Lytechinus pictus: one gene and its partners. The protein of the gene in region 2 interacts with the protein of the main gene of each other region in a pairwise test. Links are inferred from orthologs where the notes say so. Each region holds a gene or a part of one and is shown on either strand. Other genes may lie near its edges. The genes, in order: SURP and G-patch domain-containing protein 1-like, splicing factor U2AF 50 kDa subunit-like and U4/U6 small nuclear ribonucleoprotein Prp3-like.

Region 1 (7,851 bases), on a different chromosome or scaffold from region 2:
TGAAATCAATATCATTCTAAATCTCTGAATATATGGATTAGGACCAGGATTTGATTGGGAGCTATTCAGCCCCATCATTTTATCTAAAACACACACTTATTCAACACATGCACTGAAAATGAGAAATTTGCTATACCCCCCCCCCCCCCACCAATAAAAATAGAGCCTGCCTCTTTATAAAGACCATACATGATGGGAATGTTACAGTTTGAATATCTATTTCAGCTCTTTACAACATGATATATCCTGTTGAGCTAAATTCATTCAAAACTCAACAAAACAATGGCAACTTAAAGCTTGTCTACATGCATGACAAATGCATTTACTACATGACAAGAAGGTTAGGTTTAAAAAATGACACATACATACTACATGTATATAAATTAATACAAAATTTGGAAAGTGATTCAACCTATGGTTGATTGTGGATCTGGCAAAACCACAAATTAATTTCAACATGTTCTCACACCGACAGTGCTAATCTTCACACAAGATCTACAAGAAAATTTGACGTATATATTTGAAAAATATACATGTATATGGGTCAATCCATTTGATTGATGTCACAAAATTCAAAATGTCCATGTAAGATACTGTATGTAGGAATCAACCATTTCATTTCACAATGAATGTCAATTCAGATATAGTTAAGGTTTGATGTGTCAATGTAAGGAAGGTCCCTACCACAGTAATCCATGTTTGAATTTGAAATCTTTGTTTTTTTTTAAACATTACAGGACACTGCATTTATATATCATTGGCAAGAGACTGACCGGTCTGAATTTGCAATACATGTTTGATTAGTAAACCTTAGTGATACTCCAATTTTTGCTGAAGTAATTATTGGCAGGAATTTGCCAAATTTAAATGAGACACAATTTTTTTTTTTCCAGTTTATTTTTCAGTATGTCACAAAAATGCGCCAACCCAATGGAATGACCAATATGTCATTATTTTACCAGATCGCAAAATTAAGACATGTGGGGATTGTCAAATCATCTCTGAACAAGCCTGTAATGAGGACAATCAACTTACCATCATCAGAAGCCTGTTTTACGGACACTCCCTGTCCTTCATCCTCCTCATCAGAGCTGGAGTCACCAAAGACATTGGCTATCTGCCTCTCCCGCTGTTCTCTAATCTTGGCCCGGACGGCGGACGTGCTGGGTCTGTTTGGGGGTACAGGGCTGGTGGGTGACTTGGCTTTACTGGGTTGGGGCACTGGGAAAAGAGAGGAAGAAAAGGGCAAATTAAGATCAGATATATAATGTAATACCATGCGATAAGGAAGAAAGAGGGAAGAAAATGAGAATAGGACATGGAACAAGAGAAGAGCTAAGTGACATTGAGACAGAAATATAGTCTTATAGAGACAGAGGGATAGAGAGAAATACACAGAGACCGAGACTTCGTCAGAAATGAAATAGTGCAATACTCCATTAGTATTCAAACAGCCTAATTTACGAAAACATTCAAAGTTTGTGATAGACTTCATACGATATGACATCTACACGTAAGCCTATGCCTAGACCGTTTCAAGATTCAGCTCTCCTTCATGCCTGCAATTGATCATCAAAAGATTGACATCACAAATGTGCATAATCAACAAATGTAAATGACTATTACTTTTGAAATTAAATGCAAACATAACATACGAACAATCCTCAGAAACTATACAGCATGGGAAATAATCATTTCACCAGACCATACAGGAGGTGAGTAGGAAAGTGATCTAAGAATCATTTCCTAAACTGTATTTCATTTTAAACTTTCATGGGTACTTCTAGAGCTGGGAACAAACGCATTTCTGCATAAATCTGTACCTGCTTCAGGGGTGGGCGGCAGAGGTATACTCTCCAGTGTTGCCTTCTCTTCTGCAAAGTGCCTCATTTGTGCACCCAACGGTGGGTAGAAGCTCTGCTGGGCTGGCGGCGCAGTGTGTGTGGCAGGAGGGGGTGGTGGTGGGGGCTGCTGACTAATCGCTGCCATCGATTCTGCTTTCTTCTTCTGTTGTTCTTGTTGCATTTTCATAAACTGAGCCATGAAGCTGCCATCGTTTGAAAAGGTATTATTTTGGATAGGACTAGGAGCAGCTGGTGGTTTGGATTGAGTGGCATTCGTATTTGATGTGACCGCTGTCTTCCGCGATTGGTTACTAATATCAAACACAATTGCATTTCCATATTTAGAATAAGAACAATGCATTTCATAAATGAAAATAATTAAGTAAGTGCATTAATATTTTCAAGCCTTTTTTCATATTGAAACAGTCATATGCAGTAAATCATTTCTTTTAAAGAACATTAGTCTTTAAAAAAAATGCCACTTCTAAGCCTTTTTTAGCTTGTGGACAATCATACATGTACAGCCACACATCTCTTCTATCTCTGCAGATACAATTCATGTGCCTATTAAAACACGCATTTCAAACCCAAATTATTTCATACTTTTACAAGCAAAAAGTAGTAATTTTTTATTTCTAACCATTAAAAACAAAAAGAAACTTATATTACCCATCAAGGAAAGATTATTTTGTTTGGGAAGTTAGCAATTAAACAAGAGTCTGAGCTTAAGTATTTTTTAAACTGAGTGAAATAGACGAAATCTGCATCTTGTCATCTACAACTAGAAATAATGTCAGATTAAATATCATTTCAGATTATTATTACTTTCTTTTTGTGAAGGTCAGGAAAAACAAAGAATAACACACACGAATGACAAGGCACACAACTTACAATCGGGCTAAAGCTGAAGTAGCACCACCAGGAGGTGTCTTTGTCTTTGCTCCAGCGGCAGCTTGGGAGGCTGCTGCTGCTGCTTCTTTCTTCTTCTGGGCCATCTTCCTCTCAATTTCCTGTCTCTTTTGCAAAAGCATCCTCTCCTGATCACTCAAGCTCTTCATTTTATCCTGGAAGCTGGCCTTGGCAGCCCCTTTGTCCGCACCATGCTTGAAAGAGAATGCCATGGTCAGAGACAGTCAAGTGGTACTCCTCACTCCTGGTGTGAAGGTTGACCAATCATAAAACCTGGCAGGAGATCGGAAATTGCAAGGAAATTCAAATTCTCCAGTTATTGCTATTGTAAACATTTACATGTGTAATGAAATACAGAAATGTCTAATCAGCACTGCTGTTGGCCAAAGACATTTGCCACGGTGCATTGTTTAATTGTCTTGCATCTACTCAGAGCAAATGTGACGCATGAAGCCATTTCTATATTTTCTTTCCATTTCAGTAATCCCACCATTTCAGTAATCCCACCATGGCCTAGCGTCCTTTGGCAAGGCGTTAATCCACACTTTGCCACTCTCCACCCAGGTGTTAAATGGGTACCCGGTAGGATGTGAAAGCCTATATGTAGTATGCCTAGCAATTGAGTCTTGGGACTCTTGTTGGAATGCTCCCCAGGGAGTGGAGAAGGTGCATACATTGTATGCAGACATGCAAGGATCCGATGACCGGGGTAATGATATGTCTGTAAAGCGCTTAGAGACGTCGTTCCGATGTATTAAGCGCTATATAAATGCGGAATATTATATCATTTTGCGTGAGATGTTCTGCCCAATTGGTTCTACCACAGAAGCCATCGCTAAACAACAGAAAAACATTTTTTGCCGAATGATGTTAACATTATCATTCTGCATGTTTTGACAAAATAATTATTAAAATCTTACTATACGTCACAAATTAAAAGACAAGAAGTTTTTTTAGGAACTACAAGAAAAATTTGCCAATGGTTACGCTGCCCTCAAAGCAGTTGCGCAATGTCAATGGGCCACTCAATTAATCTTAACACTGCATCATTTCAATTCTCTGGCTGGCAATCATATCATATGTTTATGTATTAAGTTCGGATAAACCAGGTAAGTGGGAGTTGCGCCACAGCCTAAGTCACTGTTTTTCCCTTTTAAGTTTTTTTCCCCCGTTTTAGTGCATTTCAGGCCAAAACAGAATAGACCCTAATAATCTTAATTTTGCCTTTTTTTGGTCCGATTCTTTTTATATATTTTTATGAAATGAAGACGAAAATCAATGAGCCCAGTCAGGGGGTTTTGCATTGTTAACCCCCTAAAAAGGGCCCTAACTGCGGCTGCACAATCGCGAGCCGTCTGTGTACGAGGAGAAATATAAAAAAAATTAATTGTTAAAAAACTCAAAACAGACAGCTGCCAGCTGTCTAGGGTCGTGCTAGTACGCTAGTACTTAAGTAGACCAAAAGCTTCGGTCTCTATTAATTGGTTGTTCCGCTGAACTCCGTTGGCTCCACTCACCAATTACAGAGACCAAAGTTCTAACTCGATCTGTACAGGAACTCAATGACCTTATGTTTATGTATTAATTTCGGATAAACCAGGGAAGTAGGAGTTGCGCGACTGCAGAAGTAACTCTTTTAAGTTTATTTTTTCCTGTTTTTGTGCATTTCAGGCTAAAACAGAATAACAATCTTTATTTTGGTCCATTTCTTTTTATATATTTTTATGAAATAAAGACTGTAAGACAAAAATCGATAAGCCCCGTCGGGGGGATTTTGCATTGTTAACCCCCAATGGTGGCTGCACGATCGCCAGCCATCTGTGTACGAGGAGAAATAAAAATGTTTTTAAAAACTCCTCGAAACAGACGGCTGCCAGCTGTCTACCGATAAGGTAACCCAGGAGCCGACCGTGCAAAACGAGGGAGAGGATAGAGTTCCATATGCACCCCCCACCAAAAATAACAAGATTGTTGAGACTTCCGGTTCGTTCATCTCAGATTTTTCTATTAATTTTTTACTGTTGCTTACCTTAGTTGACTCGAACTCACCTCGTTTTATCTGCAGTCAAGACCTCTTCCCGCTATGCTAGCGAGAAGTGCTGATACCTGAAGGGGTATTTTAACGATTATCAGCCGATAGTTCGACTAGTCTACACTCAGTCACAGACCCTTACTGACTAAATAAACCGATATCTATGGACAATTACACGCACTCGATCCTGCTCGAAATTTGACGGAATAAAGCCATATTTTGGTATGTATTTCCACTCCCCCATCATATATGTTCTATATTATGGCTAGATATATTATTCTGAACCTTCTCCATGTTTTTATTTTTTTATTTTAGTGGGGGTGCATATGGAACTCTTGCCAAGGGGGACACGGGACTGGAGTAGATTGGGGTCTCAATAAGTAGTCTTAATAAAATGTGGAAACAGAAATTATGCACTTACCAATATGGATGAAGGTCTATCGTGACACACAAATCCTGACATCGAGGCACAGACTGGAACCTCAAAAAAACAAAATATAGCCTCGGTCAGTAGAGGCGCACGGCCAATATTGGAGACTGTCTCCAATGTGGGAGAATATCTCCAATATTTAGAGACTTTTGTAAAGAATTTGGGTATCCAATTTCAGAGACAGTCTCCAGTTTTGGAGATCAATTTCCTTTGTTTACATTTGCTGCAAAAGGATTACCTTGGCGGCAAATGAAAATGTGATGGGCAGATTCCTCATGAAAAATTACCCCTTTTCACCGTCTACTTTAAAAATTCACCATCTACTTTTGTTTTGATAAGGATTTTTGTTGTCAATCACACACAAAACAAATGGGCATCTGACCTCAGTGAGACAAAATTTTGGGTGGAAAAAATCATGTTTTTGTTGGTGTTGTTTCTTTTGTCCTTTTGCAAAGCAAGTCTCCAAGGTGGGAGATTGTCTCCCCTATTGAAGAGAGTCTCCCATATTGGCCGTGCGCCTCTATTGTCGGTCTCGATCGGCCATTTTGTTTTGAATAGAAAAAAGGAGAGGTATCCCGACAGAACTTTTCGGGGTTTTTTTATTTTAGGTTTAATTCCCAGTCTGTGCCTCGATGTCAGGATTTGTGTGTCACGATAGACCTTCATCCATATAATCGTGGTAATGGCATAATAATTTCTGTTTCCACATTTTATAAAGATTTACCATTGAGACCCCAATCTACCCCATTGTCTCCCTCGTTTTGCACGGTTGACTCCTGACCTGGGGCCGATTGCACGAAAGGGTCTTTGCCAGGACAGTCTTTCGTGTCACCCATTTTTTATAATGCGGCATGACCCATGTGAAACGCATTTCAAATAAATTATCTGCAAACATATTTTACTCGTCTGTTAAAATAAACAAAATAGGCCTAGGCCCTATTTGTAGGTATGTGCGAATACGGGTGCATCGCGAGCGCTGGTTTTGGCTGCACGGTTTTCGCACGGGTTTTGCTGCAAGTGGCATCACCTCTGTCTGGGCGGCTCCTCGAAAATGGGGTTTAATGCGCATGCGCACATAGTTCATGCAATCTCGTGCCTTTTTCCAAATAGTTGAAGATGTGCACTTTCTGTACATATAAGTTTCAATATGAATACTCGCCTGTTAAGTGTGGATATCGGAGCTTGAAAGTTCATCAAATTTTTGGATGTGCAAATGATCTAAATTTTTTGATGGTAAGTAGAAGTACGTTCCAATTATGTATCTGAATTCTTCTAAAAAAATATATTAATAGTCAAAAGAAAAGTAAAAATATGAGATTCTATCGACTAGCAGTCCAGATATAAGAGGAGCGAGCTACCCTTGGGTTACCCTTGTCACAGCCGGTCTCTCGGCAGTCGAGCTGCCCGATGCGGTTGGCTGGGTGATGGGAGCGGTCGATAGTGAGTCGTTCATGCTGGATTGAACTAGATCTTGGATTGTTTACTCTATATTGTGCCTTTTTCGGAAATTTCTGTCATTATACCTAGATTATTATTTTGATATTGATACATATATACATACATTTTGTCACAAAAACATTCTTTCCTCCCAAGGTTACAGAGTCAAGATGGTTTATTGTTCGATCATGTTTCATCATTTTGGAAACTGGATTCTTTTGGAAGTGGAATATCAATGTTGACTTTTTAAATTAAAATGCAAAATCTATAGTGTTTCTTTTTTGTCTTTTGTAGAATAAAAAAATATTTTGAAACTTTTCAATCATATTTCATTATTTTGAGACTGGATCTGCTTTTGAAAGGGAAATTTCATAAATGTTGACTTTTTAATTAAAATGCAAAAATTATGTTTGTTTTTTTTCATACTTATTTATTTATATATTTTTTAGTTTCTTTTTTAAATTTTTGTTTTGTTTATTTTTTCATTTTTTTTTGGTCATGTTTCATTATTTGGAGACTGGATTTGCTTTTGAAGGGAGAATATCTTAAATGTTGATTTTTTTTAATTAAAATGCACAAACTTTAAGTTGTTTATTTTTTGTTGTAATATTTTTTCACTCTTGTAAGAAAATACATGGAAACTCAGAGGAAAGAATATTTCATTTCCAGATGGGTCTAAGTCCTGTATTTATAGTTTTTTTTATTGTTAATTTTACTATTTTTTTTAATTTACTTTTCTTTTTTTTTTTCATGCAGGTGGAGGTTGTGTTTTAAACTGGAAAATGGGGACGGGATTGGTACAAGTTTTTGTGTCACTTTTGTTTCTCTTGTGTTTAGTGTTTGTTTGGAGCTTTGATGTCTGTTTGGTTGTTGTTTAGAGCTTTGTTATATTTTTTTCCTGGTTGTTTTTTGTTTTGCTTTGAAAGAAATAGACCACTCTTTTCCTTTTCGTTTGGCTTTGACAACTAAAAATTTGAATTTATTTTTCTTAAAAAAAGAGAGCTCACAGGGCCTTTGTAATACATTGTATGTATACAAATCTAAGAAATACATTGAAAATGATAGAATTTACTAAAGTAAAGCTTAATATTTATCCTTTTTTATACTTTAAATAAATTGCATACAATGCTACATACATATTTTACACTTAGCTGCTCATCCCTCCTAAAAAAATGTAATCAAATGTCCATTGTCTCTAA
Region 2 (7,825 bases):
TGGGAACCATCTAAGAAAATTCTCCTGAATTATAAATAATGGTTCCCATTTTCACGAGTAGATAAAGACAGTTTATTAATCAGCTTTATTTCGTCAGAGAATCATCACTAACAAAATAAATATCACTAGTAATCTGTCTTTATCTACTCGCTGAAATGGGAACCAGCGCGTACAACTCTATCATATGGAAAATTCTCAATAAAGTTGTACACGCTGGTTCCCATTTCAGCGAGTAGAGTAAACTAGTTTACTCTACTCGCTAAAATGGGAACCAGTGTGTACAACTCTATGGGGAGTTTTCCACGCTGGTTCCCATTTTAGCGAGTAGAGAAAAGACTGCGACGAAATCAATCTTTCTGATCTAAGCTCTTTGAAGGATTACTTTATCTAGAATCAGCGCCACTGAACTAAAAATACGTGGAAGTCGTGTTCACTCAAGCAAAACAGCGCCGGCGAAATCGATAAGTCACGTGACCGCCGCCATTTTGCTAGGTCAATTGTTCGAGAACGTTCCGTAGAAGGCAATTGAAAATAATATTATGTGCAAGATGCAATATGTTTTCTCTATAAATATAAAATTAATAGTGTGGCAAAGTGTATTTTAATGTCATTAAGCCAATCATGTACAAACATATTTCTATATGCACAATGTACCGGGACCTGGTAATTCATGTAGTTAAAAAAAGGGTCTAAATCAGGGTGACCAGATTTCACAAAATGAAATACGGGACAATCGATAAAAAAAGATCATCAAAGAAGGCTACACGATGTTATACTTGTGAAAAAAATAAAAATAATTGGAAGGGAGGGAGAACGAAAGAATGAAGGAGAGAAAGAAAAGACGAAAGAAAAGAAATGATAAAGAAGAAAGAACAAATGAAGGGGAAAATGAAAGAAAGTTAGAATAATCAAAAGGACGATGAAAGAAAGAATAAAAGAGAAAAAAGGGTTTCCGTCATTCTTTGAATTCGCCCAATATAGAAAGAAAGGGAAGATGTGTGAAAGACAAAATAAAGGTAAGAAAAGTAAGAAAAATTAAGGAGGAGGAAACAAAGAAAGAAGAAAACGGGAAGGGGAAATGAAGGAAGGGAGGGAGGGAGGGAAAGAAAGAAAGAAAGAAAGAATAAGGGGAAAGAAGAAGAAGGAAAAATAAAATAGAGAATGAAAGAAAGAATGAAAGAGAGGGAGGAAAGATTGGAGATAGGATAGAATGAAAAAAATAATGGAAGGAGAGAAAAACGAAAAGAAAAAGGTGAGGAAGGGAGTAAATAAAAGTATAAGGAAAAAAAGAATGACGGAAATAAAAATGGCAGATACGGAGAAAGAAGGAAAGAAAGAAAATTAAAACACAGAAAGAATCAGGAAAGAAAGGTATGAAATATTAAAAGATGTAGATGGAACAAAAAAAAGCAAGGATAGAAGGATGAAGGATAAAAAGGAAAGAGGAAAAAGTTCAAACTTCAAGCAAACAAAAGCAATCCAATCATCTAACAGAAATGATAATGATATTTGGTGTGTTTGTGGGAATATTTACTCAAAATTTATATAGAGAAAGTTGAAATGAGAAAGGAAAAATGGTAAAGATGGAGAGAGAGAAAAAGAAACAGACGATCAACGAGAAGAGATGGAAAGAAGAGGAAGATCAAAGAGAAAGAGAGAGAGAGAGAGGGAGAGAGAGGGAGAGAGAGGGGGAAATCGAGGAATGAGAAAGAGGTGAGGAGAGAAAGGCGAGACGAGAGGGAGATAAAAGAGGGCTCGATATAAGGGAGATGGGGGAAATAAAAGAAAAATATAATTAGGGGAAGAGAGAGTGGGAATGTAAAAGAGAGAGATGAGAAAGAAGAGGAGAATCAGAGAGAAAGAAGCCAAAGAGAAAGGAAAATAATAAAGAGGGAGATCGAGATGATATAAAGGGGAGAAATAAGAGAGAGAGGGGCATGAAAGTAGAAATGGAAGAAATAGAAGGGGATGGAGAGGATAAGAGAGATGGAAAAAAGAGGAAAATCAGAGAAAATGAGATGAGATTAATAGTTGAATGAGAAGGGAGGTTTAAAAAAAAAGCTAGAGAAAGGGACATGATTTCTAATCGTTAAAAGATTTTTTTGATGCAACCAGCTAGTATAGGCCTACTCAGAAAGCATATTTGTTGTGGGGCCTTTCCTTGTCACAGCGTGCGCGTGAAAAAGGTCGAGTTTTTTATGATTTCATGTCTGTATGTTTACTCCCCTTTAATAAAAAAATGTGACTAAATCAACATTTTCAGTTATGAAAGTATTCAATAACATATAGTTCATGATGTAACAAAGCAAACTAAAACTTTAAACAGCACAAGGAACACTTTCTTTGCGTTCCTTTCTCCCATCTGCCTATATACACGCAGCATTTGTCGACCAGCCAGTATTGACCTAGCAAAATGGCGGCGCGCTCAGTCGAGCGTGAAGCCCGATGCTCTTCGTTGCCGCATGGCTTTGTGTACGTTGGGAATAGGGACACGCATTCCACGTTTTTTTAGTTCAGTGATCAGCGCGCCAGCTGCAATGAAACAGTGAACAAGCTCGAAAAGGTAGGTAGGTCATGTCTTGTCGTGAAAAAGTGTCCTTTGGAAATTAGGAACTGGTTCCCAATTTCACGATAATGCCCCATTTTATCATGTTCTTTTGGCAAAAAAACTTTACAAGGAGTTGTGCCTGGCTGTGGAACTGGAAGCCAGAACTCAGGGCCCTATTTACACAGGGGTTCTTTACACACACACACACCCCCAACCCACACAAGCACTAACTAGCGCACCACAAAGCACACACACACAACTGCACAATGACACATGATGAACGCGACGCAAACTGACTGGCTGGCATGGCCATGGCCGTCATGTTTGTATTTCGTCTATCGTATTTGGAAATTAAAATGAAAAGATTCCATGCTTTTTACATCACTCTTACTAATGCCTACCTGGTTTTCTATCATCTTCGTCCATGATTGAGTGTTTTCCCCGAGTTTTAGACCAGTTTTCAGCGGTTGTTTTCAGCATGCAACATTCAGGACCGGGTGTAACACGCTCAATGTCTGTATGTGCTACACTTCCGATCCGAGTACGAGTGTGTAGAAATTGCCGCACTACTACAGGCCCGTGCTAAAATATATTGGCGCTAATTATATTCACCACGCCAGATGATGAACAATATTTATCCCCCGAAGCCGTATGAAGTTTTATAATGCTTGTTTGATTTGTCGCGTTTTATTGATCTTTTGGTTGGCGTTGAATACATCATTAAATGGTAACTTTAAATAAAGAAGGCGAAACTATAGAATGGTGAAAGTTTGAAATAAATGGGGAAGAAAATATGACTGTTTACTTTTAATATTAGATCAATGGAATCTCGATTAGGCACCTGTTTTAATGTGCCAATAAATATATATAAGGCAACTAGCAATTATCGTGTACACTAAATTCGTGGAGGTTTTATCCTCTTCTAAGAAAGCCTATTATTCTGATTAAAGCTTAACTTGCCATTTTAAACTCAAATGCTTGCTTTTCTGAATCAAAATGACATCACCCATGCGACAGAACTTGTCACTTATATTTGCCGAATCATACTATAGGCGTAGCCCTAAATGATCCTGAGTAAAATAATATAAACTTTAATTATATTATCTTGCCACTTTGAAAGCAATTATTCTTCTCTGATATTCGGCAGAAAACATATCTGATCAAGAAAAAATTATCTAATTCCATATAGAAATTATTGAGAAATCGAGTGATGGATGAGCCTGCCAATTATGTTAACTATATTTTGGAGTCCGTGGATATAATCCATGCATGCATGCAGTGTCTGAGAATTACTTTAAAAATTGTAAGAATATGTGTGTTCACTAATATGAGTTATCTATACTAATTGAAAGAAAAGGTTATCTATACTAGGCCTGTATATACAATCGGAACGGGACTCGACCTGCCGTACGTGACCGCATGCAAAATTCAATTAGAAGAATTAAAATAATTGAGAAGAAGAACATTAAGACAACGCAGTGCTTCACGTACGTATACTTTTGTTTAATAAAAATTGCTCAGAAACTATGAAATAGAACTAGAACACTATTTGAATTTTATTAGACTATAGAAAACAACAATTCAGATAAAGCTCGATCTCAAGCCGGCCTTCGGTAACTGAGCACTCATTCTCTACAAAAGTGATGCCGGTGTAGGCCTATAAATTAATCAAACTAAGCCTATTGATTTGAATAAAGAAAGATCAATCTATAGCATAACGCTGAAAATTTCATCAAAATCGGATGTAAAATAAGTTATGGCATTTTAAAGTTTTGCTTATTTTTCCCAAATAGTGATATGCATAACCTAGTGACATGCAAATGAGTCGGTCGATGATGTCCATCACTGACTATTTCTTTCGTGTTTTATTGTTTGAATTATACAATATTTCATTTTTTACAGATTTGACACTAAAGACCAACTTGAACTTAAAAATATAACTTTTTTATTTCACATCCGATTTTGATAAAATTTTCAGTGTTATGCTTGTTGGATTTTTTTCTTTTTATTCAAATCAACTTTTTGTTGGGGTGGACTTGTCCTTTAAAGGACAAGTCCAGTCCAGCCCATCAAAAAATTGGGTTAGATAGAAAGATAAAAATCATACAAGCATGCACTACACTGAAAATTTCATCAAAATCCAATGTAAAAATAAAAAAGTCAGCATGACATTTTAAAGTTTCGCTTAATTTTATAAAAACATTTGACATATGCTGGTCAGAATGAGGAAACAGGGGCGTCGATCCATTTTTCAGATTGGGGGGCAAAATCATGAACTTTCCAAAGGAGCTCGATCACACAACTCACCCACACGAACACTGACACACACACACACACATAGGCCTATATATAAATATATATATATATATGTGACTCATGAGAAAGAGACACATATCCCACCAACAAATTATAATGCGAGCGCGAAGCGCGAGCTGAAAATCTTTTAGTATACTGACCTGAAAACAGGAAAAAGGTACCTGTTAGGACTGTTTGTAGTAACTCATGAGGAGGATACTTTTATCTCACTACACAGATAATGCGAGCCGGCCGAGAGCGAGCTGATATTTCTTTATATTCTGACCTGAAAGCTTGAAATTTAAGCATTTTTGGTAACAATGATTAAGATGGGCATCTAAAAGAACAATAGATGCGATGGCGAAGCGCGAGCTGAAAATTTTGATATTTCGATCTGAAAAAATTGACAGTTTAATGGACTTTTTAATAAAGACAGGATTTATATCCAACAAAAGATTGTTGATAATCGAAGCGGGAGTTCTTTTGAGGTTTAGACCTGAAAACGGGACATTCTATTTACCTATTATTCATGAAAAGTATGGGTTTTTGCTAAAGAAATGATGCGAGCGCGAAGCGCGAGCTGAAATTTTTTACATTCGATTCTGAAAAACGCACATTTTGAGCACGATTTAGATAAAGAACGATCGAGTTGTGTATCTCAATCTCGCTTGCCGATTTCTGTGTAACATTACAATCCTTTTCATTTTTGCACATCCGGAATTATTGGGGGGGGGGGGGGCAAAACGATATGTTTGCCCCCCAAAAAAATATTTTCATTGGAGATGATGACATCATCCACTCACTATTTCTTTTGCATGAAATATAAAATTTGATTCCTTCCTGAACATGTGGAATTACAACTGTTTTAACATTTTGTGGTTAAAAACAAGACGGTCGAAATCAAACAACAAAAAACAAAAGAGACAGTGAGTTAGAGACATCATCGACTCTCTCATTTGCATATCACTGTGTTGTGAATATAACTGTTTTGTGAAAAAATAAGCGAAATTTTAAAGTGTCATAACATTCGATTTTGATGAGATTTTCAGCGTTATGCATGTTTGTTTGATTTTTCTATATTAATTCAAATCAACTTTCCTTTGGGGTGGAATTGACCTTTAATATTATTTACTTACAAAATATTAAAGAAATGAACAGTCATTAAAAAAAAACTTTCTAAATCTGTTGGCAACTGGGGAAGGGAGGGGGGGCAACGGTTCGATGAGTGGGTGGCAAGTCCCCCCCCTCCCACACATCCCCTGGTGCCCCCACTTCTTTTCCCACGAGGAAAATATTTTCAGAACTAAATTAAAGAGTGCTAATTAAAATGTTGAGAATCCGAATAAACTCAAAGGCGAACTGTAAATCATCAGAATAAAATTAAAATAAAGATGATATAAGGCCTTGAAGGTAAAGCAACATGAAGAGGAATATGATCCTCTTCATGCTTGACCGACATGGCTGAAACGGAGGGTGTGGGGGGGGGGGGGGGGCTAGGTACCATGGTCATTTCTTGCAAAACTAACTTTTCCTGGCCATGCAGTGAACATGCAATTAAGGTACGAAATTGCCACACACACAAAATACAGGGGAAAGGGGGATAAGATTTTAATCTATGTTTTGTAAATCATGAAAAGGATGGGTAATTAGTTATCTTCCTACATTAACAATGCGAGTGCAAATTGAGCGCGAGCAGAAAATTGTTGATATTTTAAAATCTGAAACTGGATAATTTAAGCATGTAGAACAAGCTGGGTATCTCAATAAACACGTGCGTGTATTTTAGATTGATTTATATAGTATCTGGGCATTATGAGTACAATCATGAAAATCAATAATTCGAGCGCGAACCGTGAGCTGAAAACATATGATATTCCGATCTCAAAAAGTGTCAATTTAATTAAGCACTAATTCAAGCACGGTGTAGAAAAATTGTGAAATGGAAATGGATCGCACCTAATAAATGATGCGAGCGCGGCACGAGCTGAAGTTATTTTAACCTAGGACCCGGCCTAGGACCGGGACATTTCATGAGGACATTTTGTCATAATTATGAAAATGATGTCTATCTTCCTATTCCTCCTAAGCGCGAGATAAAACTTGTCGATATCCCTTTCTGAAAAAAGAGACAATTTAGGAATTCATTGACATGTTATCATTTTCTTAATTAATCTAATAATTATGCCTATGACAGCGTAAAATTTGTTAATAATAAGGCCTGAAAACTGGACATTTTAAGCACTTTCGTAATTATGAATAATAGGATGCATGATAAGTTTATCAATCAAATTTATGCGAGCGCAAATCGCACGCCGAAATTTTTTTAAACTGTCATAAAAAGGGGATTTTAAGTAGTTTGTTATATAATTACTTAGTATTATAGATCGAGGCATATATATGCGAGCGCATAGCGCTATGGCTGAAAGGTTTTGACAATCAAACCTGAAAAGGGATATTATGAGAATACACGAATAGCATACTTGACAAATCAAATACGTATGCGAGCTAAAATTTTGATACTGAGTCAATAAAATGGATATTTTACAGATCACTTTTTGAAAATTAAATTGTAAATCAAACAAAATAATGGAAGCTCGATGTCGGAGCTGAAATATGTTTTGTATATTGACTTCAAAACTTGATATTTTAAGAATTTTATGTATTTCATCAAACATGCTATGCGAGCGCAAAGCGCGAGCGAAAATTTTATAGTGACATATGAAAGTTTTTTTTTCCAAGCCTTACCCAGCCTCACCTTATTTTATTCACTAGTCTTCCTCATCCTTTTCTCATCTTTTTTACTCTTCTCTTTTCCCTTCCATTCCCCCCCCTTCCTTTCACTTTTTCCTTTTTTTTTGCTCCACCAATAGGGGGGCGGGCGGGCATATGCACCTTGAAAGTCCATCTCTATGATGATATCCAACTTGGGCATAGAGATGATATGCCCAAGTTGGATATCATCATAGAGATGGATATCTATGA
Region 3 (7,898 bases), on a different chromosome or scaffold from region 2:
AAAGTTATATCTTGAAAAAACAGTGTGAGAAAAGTCCTTCCCTATATTTGCCAAAATGCTGGAAAAATTCACATTTCATATCAATGAAATGCCTTCCCAAAGTATTTACTTCCTCAAGAGTGGTTTAAGAAGTCATTTATAAACAAGAAAGAAAGAAAGAAACTGTCTGTTTATTTTTGGCTAGAAAAGACACAGCTTCGAAAGAAACCAAGTATCAACATACATACAAATGCACACTTGGGACTATGATGTACTCACCTATGTGTTTTATGTTTATTATTATTAATGCATTTGGAAATCGGTCTTTTTGAGTCAAAAGAGAGGTCATAATTCCTCTTTTTAATGCTGGCAAATAATCAGGTTACACCAGATTTTAGTAATGTGGACTGTAGAAGGGCATTTAATTGGTGTAAAATGCGACTTTGACGTAGATTTTCAAAGTTCTGTGGGAGATTTGTTAGCAGCAACATTTTGAATCGCAGCTCCCCGAGTCTGAATAGTCTGCTAGCGCACAGTACACAGCTAGCTGCAGTGGTTTCATGCATGCAAAGCTGACGGCCGGCGCGGCCGGATAATAGTTACTGTATGCTATAGCGGTAGGCCTACATACAGTCATGACTATGCAATCTTTGTGTGTGTGTATTTGTGTAGATTAACAAAAAGGGCGCATGACGAATTGGCTTGCAATTTGAACTGTAGAAAGTTGATAAATGCGTGCAAAATCGGGAGAAAAATTGCGCTCCTTTGAAAATTATTGGTTGCCCGATTCAGGCCACCAAAACTTAACATTTTTTTAATGATGGTTGCCCGAGGTGAATTTCTGGTGGCCCCGGGCCACTGCTAATGTCGAGCCTTGGATAAGTAATACAGTGTGCACTGTCTAACAATCAAAACAACTGGAAGGAGGAAATAAGATCAGTTGTCGGATTTGCCGTTAACGGAAAGTAGAGGCTTAAAAATTATTTTAGTGCCTCATACTTGTTTTCCAACCTTTCTTCAGACCACTTGCACTCTGCAACCACCCTGTCTTTGGTGAGTCTATGCAACATACAAACACACAAAAAAAAGTCTTTAAAATATCACTTTTGTAAAAAACAACACCCAGTTCCATTCAGTTATGATTTTTTCATTATAGACTTACAGTGTAGGAACCATTTTTTTATTCACCAGAGCGCTCAAAAACTTAAATTTTGAGTATATTTTTGTGACGACCTCTTTTGGTGAAAAACTGAAATTGATGCAGATCTCCATCTCCACAGTCTCTTTTTTAATGGCAAAAAGAAGCTGCTGAAAACTGCTTATCTAATAAAAGAGAGCCAATGGAGTAAATTAGAAAGTCAAAAGGGGCCTAAGCTTTCGATCCTAGCAGAATCTTCGTCAGAGGCAAAATGATGCTCATTTTGCCTTCGACGAAGATTCTGCTATGATCGAAAGCTTAGGCCCCTTTTGACTTTCTAGTCTCTTTTTTAATTAGAAAAAATTAATTTCAAGAATTCAATTGAGTTTTGGGCCAAAAAATAAAGTATTTATTCATTCCAGATCAAGAGAAAAAAAAGCAAAACATTGACAATCTTATTCATGTAATTTCACCACACAGTGGTTTCTGAGGACAAGGTTATCATAACCTTGTACATGGGATAAATGCTCGTAATCAGTTCTAAAATCGACAAGAAAATTAGCCTACCTGAAAAAGCTCTGGATGCCCTGACTCGATGACCTCACTTTAACCATCTCCTTGTGCTTATCAGAAGAAATGTGTCGAAGGCATGTCATTTCTTCCTCAAAACTTTATAGATACATCGACCAAGCAAACTGAGCAAAAAGCATGATACTCTCCTCTCTTTGATCTTGTCACACAGTCCCATTCCACTTGAAAATTATCTTTATACTTCGAAAAGTATTTTGTATTCTTGGTCTTGGATGACTCCATCTCCATGGTCACTGACGATGCGATTGTAGTGTGGATGAATCGGGACGGGCGTGCTTCGCACAGCCAGCCAGCGCCAGGCCAGCTCACTCACGAAAGAGAAAATGTTCGAATCCGATCAACCCAAGTGAAAGTAGGCGAAAAATTCTCAACTTTGCTTCTGTTCTTCAGGATTGTCAATAAAGTGAAAGTCGGGGTGTAGTTATAATAGTAATCCACTTGTAAATCCCATCGTTGATCCACAGTTTCAGCTCGAATAAAGCGCACACAAGCGTATGAAAAATGCCTCGCAGTGCTCGTGGACTTCCCTTCTCATAGCCTCCTGGCGCGGCGCGGCCGGCTGGAGACCAGGCAGGGTCGCATCGGGGGGCATGTGCATGGAGTGCCGCTGAAGTGTTTCCATCACACACATTGCAGAACCAGAAAAAAAATGGCAAGTTAGACTAATTCACCAGTCGTTCAGTAAAGTTATCTTCATTTACATTGGAAGTCAATGTACGAGTATACAAAAACTGGTAAAATTTACTGGGTAAAATGAAAATGTGATAAGGAGGATCCACGTGGGTGTAAGGGAGTTGAAAATGCTAGACTCGTAAAACAGTCGTTTGTATGAATTTTACAATTTAACAGCTAAAAATCCTGATTATCCCGGAGATTTTGGCATGGGGTCGGGAGAATGGGAGATTGGATGGCAATCCAGTATTCTTCCGCAGGATCCGGGAGACTCGGAAGCTCTGGATTACACATGAGGGCTCGCACTAACGTACTACCGTCGGTGAATGGGGATGATAGTAAAATGTCAGAAATTGTTAAATAAATCCCCAGAAACGACGGTTATTCCTGTCTAACCACTGGCGTGCTTAAAGGTATTGTTTAACTTTGTGAGCAGCCGATTTAAAAAATTCTCAAACCAAGATGATACATGTGTACAAGTGCATGTATTAGAACTAATAAACCCTGAAAACAACCATTATTGAGAATGAAAAGCTAGAACTACAAGGCAAACCCCGATTTTGTAAATAGGCGTCTTATAGACGCCTAAATAGTACACATAAGTGTATGGGATGAAATTAAGATGGTGTTTTCGGTCACTTTATATTTCAATTTTTGAAGCATTTTTTTTCTGGGCTTCATTTTTGTAACATATCACAGACACAGGTGACAAGTGTGACCTTCTAGCTCAGATTTTTTTAAAGTCTCGCGATCGTGCAGCCGCCATTAGGGGGTCAACAATACCAAAAAAAATAAAACGGGGGTTTTCGATTTTTGTCTTTATTTCATAAAAATATATAAAAAGAACTGGACCAAAATAAAGATTAATATTCCATTTTGGCCTTAAATGCACCAAAATGGAAAAAATAAACCTAACAGGAAAAAAACAGTGACCTACTTCGGCTGTCGCGCAACTCCCACTTCCCTGGTTTATCCGAACTTTATACATAAACATATGGCCATTGAGTCCCTGTACAGATAAAGTTAGAACTTCAGTCTCTGTAATTGGTGAGTGGAGCCAACAAAGTTCAGCAGAACATTCAATAAAACAGAGACTGAAGCTTTTGGTCTAGGATACCATTGCACTTACACGCACCGAGTAAAATACTTGCATCGGCCGATAAATATCATAAATCTTACCTCAGTCCTAGATCCCACTTCAACTGGTCTAGCGTGAGGAATATTTTAGCATTATTGGTGGCAAAATACTTGGTGCGTGTAGTGCAATGGCATCCCGTCCCTGGCTTCATGGAGATTAAGCACGTCATTGGTATGACTTCAATCTCCAGGAGCCTCCTGGCCTGGGGGTGGGGGGTTCAAGAGTATATTGGCAGTATTGCTTTGTGTGGATATGTGTAGATCTAAAAGTTAGATCAACAACTTCCGTTTGAATGGACGATTCAACCCCATCCAGCAGAACATGGATTCGAATGAAAAGAGACAAATCTAATGTCTACAAAAGTAAAAACCCTGAATATTTCATCAAAACCGAATGTAGAATAAGAACGTTGTGATGATTTTAGATTTCACTTGAAGTTTCACTTCAAGATCACAAAACAGTTGTACTACTGTAGAGTCTATGCATATCCACTCGCACTAGTGCAAGGTTAGTTACTATTCTAACCTTGCACAAAGAACCACGTTTGGCAGTGGATTTCTAAAGTTAGTGGGTCGTGCATGCTGCGACGTCACTTCTGGCGTGCACAACACACGACTTCTATGGCTTGATTTTTCTGTGCGCGGCGGCATGTAATGCAATGAACCCTTGAGTGATGCATATACTAGTCCTCATGCAATGAAGCACCCAGCAATGTCGTCCATTTAATATTTTTTTAATACATTATGAGCTCTAGTCTAGAGTCTATATAAAATATTTGTGAAATGTCTTCCTATTTTTCATCATTCGAGTTTCAAGATCTATGTGAAACACAACTTGATTTTCCCTGACAATCTGGGAATGCTTTTTTTACATTTTTTGTTGCAATGTTGTCTTTCATCATCAAGCGGCTTTTATGGCTAATCTGACATTCCTTATGATCTCAACAGCTCAAGAGTACATGTAAGTGTGGCAAAAAATTTGTCAAAGATGAAGTCTAGAGCTCAAACAAAATAAATTAATTTCTTCTGAAAATCTGAAACTGAAGTCTCTCATATTTTTTAAATTGAAAAACATTGAAGCCCCATATCTGCTGAACCATTCATTTTATACACAATTCAGAGGATTTGATGAGGGAGACTGTAATGGATGCCTTTACAAGTTTACATGTTTCTGAAATGCCTTTTAAAATTTTTCACTATTTTATCTCTGTAACCTATTGCAGATGTAAAATTTTTGGTCATTACGTGTCTGATTAGAAAAAAAAATCTCCTTTCTTTTTTTATTAAGATATGTTAAAGCCCTTGCTGGAAGACTCGGCTGAGAGGTTTGTGGAGACCCTATTTGCAGATGTAGCAGGTTTTCAAGGTGGAAGTAAAGCTTCAAAGAGAACCAGTAAAGATGATGATGGATATGAGGGACACAAGAAGCGTTCTAAATTCTCTCACTTTCCCGGTGAAGACGAGAATGGAGTCAAGGTAACAATAAGCTGTGGGAAACAATACATTCCTTAAATTTACCTTATAATTTTTGTTACGTGATTACCATATTTTACATGTATGTTACTGGGGGATTTTTTAACATTCTATTCAAATGAAGTCCTGAATATGACTGTAAACCAGATTAGATGAGCTGAATATGGCTTGAGTAGCGATGGTTTGAGTAGTAGCAGGTTGAAGTGAAGAGAGGTTACTCGACGTTTCGGGCAGGTTGACTGTCCATCTTCAGGAGTCTTCACTTCAACCTGCTACTACTCAAACCATCAATACTCAAGCCATATTCAGCTCATCTCATCTAGTTTACAGTCCTTTTTCAGGACTTTACTCACTTTCAAGAAAAGATTACCTCTAATTTCCTCTTTTCATCCTTTCTCGTCTTTCCATTTAAATTTTCTGCCTGTATTTCCTCTCCCTTCTTCATATTAAACATTGTGAACCGTAAGCCTTCTCCACATTATAAACTCCACCATGCAAACCTACTTCTTTTTTATTCTTTATTTGATTCTAATCTAATCTAATTTAATATAATTTAATATAATTTGTTGTCATCTTCAACAACTGTATAGTTGTATTTTACTATTTTGTATTACATGTATGTTATCTTTGTAAAGTCACATGGATTGGAAGACCTTCGGGTTATAGTTATTTAGTTAATCTTTTTCCTTTCCCGGCATCCATGTGACTCTCCTTATCCTATTGTTTGTATATGTTGTTTATGTGTTTGATTATAATAATAATTTTAAAAAAAAGATCATCTGCCTGCTTCATTAGTTCAATAAATTAATATTTTCCCTGATGAATTTTTACAGTAGAAGTAGGCTATAAAATAGTGATGTTTCAGTTTGCTAAAGGGCATCAGCTTAAATTAAGAAGGTTGTTCTTCTGAGCATGATACCTCATGAAAAATCGTTACAAAATTGAGAAAGTGCCGCCCAAAACACAATTTTGGTCCCATGGGACCACTCCTCATTTAAAACGTGTATGTTATAATTTTTTTGACATATTTTGTAACATTTTTAGCAATAAATCCAGCTTAGCTATGCAACATAAGATAACATCATATTTTACCATTGTGCAAATTTTTTTGTCATGGTCACATGATTTGAGACCAAGATCTTAGGGGGCATAATAAGGACTCAAAATAACCTGGGATTATTAGACTTAAGTCCTGCTATATTACTAAAGTAAGGAAAGTACTTGGAACTAATTAAATGAATGTATTTTACCTGACACAGTTTTCAAAGAGTCAGCCCGAGGCTCTGAGAAATGATGCTCTGGAGAAAGCCAAGAAAGCTGCTGAGATACAAGCACGCATACAGGCAACTATGATGAGTGCTGGGTTAGGTGGTTTGAAACTACCACCTATGCCTGGAATACCACAAGCACCTGCAATACCTAAAGTACCAGCTCCTAAAGAAGATACCAGTCAGACTAAACCACCACCAGCTGTTCTCACTAAGTGAGCAAACAATAATTATCAATAGCTTTCTCTCATATTGAATGATTCTGTATTTTTCTGTTTTAGATTAAAAATAAATCATATCTCAAACAATCCTTTGTTTACCCCTCCTCCCAGGGCCCTGGGAACGATTTTGTAAGTGGAGGTGCTGATGTAAGTTTGAAAAGTAAAAAAAAAAAAGTTTCTCTACAAAATGGAAGTCACAAAAAATTAAGTTAATTTTGGTTACATTTTTCAATTTTTACACATCTCTCAGAATACCTTAGGGTGCTGCCTGTGGAGAATAATACACACAGCACCCCCAAGGAAAATGTTGGGGGTGCTTCAGTAACCCTGCTTCCCAGGGCCATGCCCTCTCCCCCTTGAATGATAATAAGCTCAAAGTGATAAAACATTTTCTGATCCTCTCAAAGAGATTCTGGTTATTCATATTAATTATTCTTTTTTCTTTTTTTGTGTGCTTAGACCAGCACCATTGATTCTTGATGATCAAGGTAGAACAATTGATAAATCAGGACGTGTTATCATACTACCGCAACACAGACCAACAATTAAGGTAAAGCTTCCACAATTTACGTTTTATCTTTGATACATAGAATGTACAACTTGATGAGAAGGGTAATGTTGTTTTTATTTTATGTACATGTATGTGGTAGGCTTGTCAAATGAAATGAAACATCGTGCAGAGAGTTTTAAAGATATGTGAAGATATGTTATATATATTTCAGTCTATTCAATTGAATAAAGTTTAATAAGAAAAGTAATTGAAAAGGGGGGAACACAATGTAAGCTACATGTATGCTTGATTATTCTGATTTTCTTCTGGAGGAAAAAAAATCATGTTAAGAGCAATGATGACTTTATTACTCATAATCAGAAGAAGAGTAAAATGATTTTTGTATTTTTCCACTTTCAACAAAGGATAAATAATTTATTACTTTAGAGTTTGGATACCTGTAGGGACAGTCATTTTCCATTATACTGGTAAATAAAAAGGAAATTCCATTTTGTTCTTACACTTTTTATGTAAAAATTCATGGAATTTAGGTTTTTGCTGTATACATTTTCAGTGACAAAACTGAATTTCCATTTTTAGATCAAGTTGAAACGGAATTACAGATTTTCAGACATGGAAAATACCATTTTTTAAAATGGAAATTCACTGTCTCTATACCTTTCATTATCATTCAAATAGACTCTTGCATGTTTTAAAGGATGAAAATGTTTTAGACTGTGAAATAGTGAATGTGAATAGAAGTTTTTTGTGCATTCTTAAAATAAAATTATATTACTTTTCTTGTCCCATTTATACTGTCCAATGTGAAGGCTAACATCAGAGCCAAACGGAGAGAAGAATTTAAGGCCAATCAGCAGGAAAAACCACAGGACTTCTCTTCTGACTCCAACCAATTCTTTGATCCAAGG

What was found.
Region 1: the proteins of splicing factor U2AF 50 kDa subunit-like (region 2) and SURP and G-patch domain-containing protein 1-like interact in binary tests that used the Homo sapiens proteins (3 or more experiments, as listed by UniProt). The link is inferred for Lytechinus pictus from reciprocal best matches to the Homo sapiens genes U2AF2 and SUGP1.
Region 3: the proteins of splicing factor U2AF 50 kDa subunit-like (region 2) and U4/U6 small nuclear ribonucleoprotein Prp3-like interact in binary tests that used the Homo sapiens proteins (3 or more experiments, as listed by UniProt). The link is inferred for Lytechinus pictus from reciprocal best matches to the Homo sapiens genes U2AF2 and PRPF3.

Annotation. Positions count from the first base shown.
Region 1 is NC_087249.1:31,939,110-31,946,960, reverse strand, and holds the start of SURP and G-patch domain-containing protein 1-like, read right to left. Parts: upstream 3,107-7,851; 5' UTR 2,966-3,106; coding exon 2,736-2,965; intron 2,156-2,735; coding exon 1,824-2,155; intron 1,222-1,823; coding exon 1,036-1,221; intron 1-1,035.
Region 2 is NC_087254.1:7,871,558-7,879,382, forward strand, and holds the start of splicing factor U2AF 50 kDa subunit-like, read right to left. Parts: upstream 3,087-7,825; 5' UTR 3,029-3,086; coding exon 2,950-3,028; intron 1-2,949. UniProt on the Homo sapiens protein: Plays a role in pre-mRNA splicing and 3'-end processing. By recruiting PRPF19 and the PRP19C/Prp19 complex/NTC/Nineteen complex to the RNA polymerase II C-terminal domain (CTD), and thereby pre-mRNA, may couple transcription to splicing.
Region 3 is NC_087247.1:68,145,394-68,153,291, reverse strand, and holds the start of U4/U6 small nuclear ribonucleoprotein Prp3-like, read left to right. Parts: upstream 1-4,802; 5' UTR 4,803-4,807; coding exon 4,808-4,993; intron 4,994-6,249; coding exon 6,250-6,473; intron 6,474-6,938; coding exon 6,939-7,029; intron 7,030-7,799; coding exon 7,800-7,898. UniProt on the Homo sapiens protein: Plays a role in pre-mRNA splicing as component of the U4/U6-U5 tri-snRNP complex that is involved in spliceosome assembly, and as component of the precatalytic spliceosome (spliceosome B complex).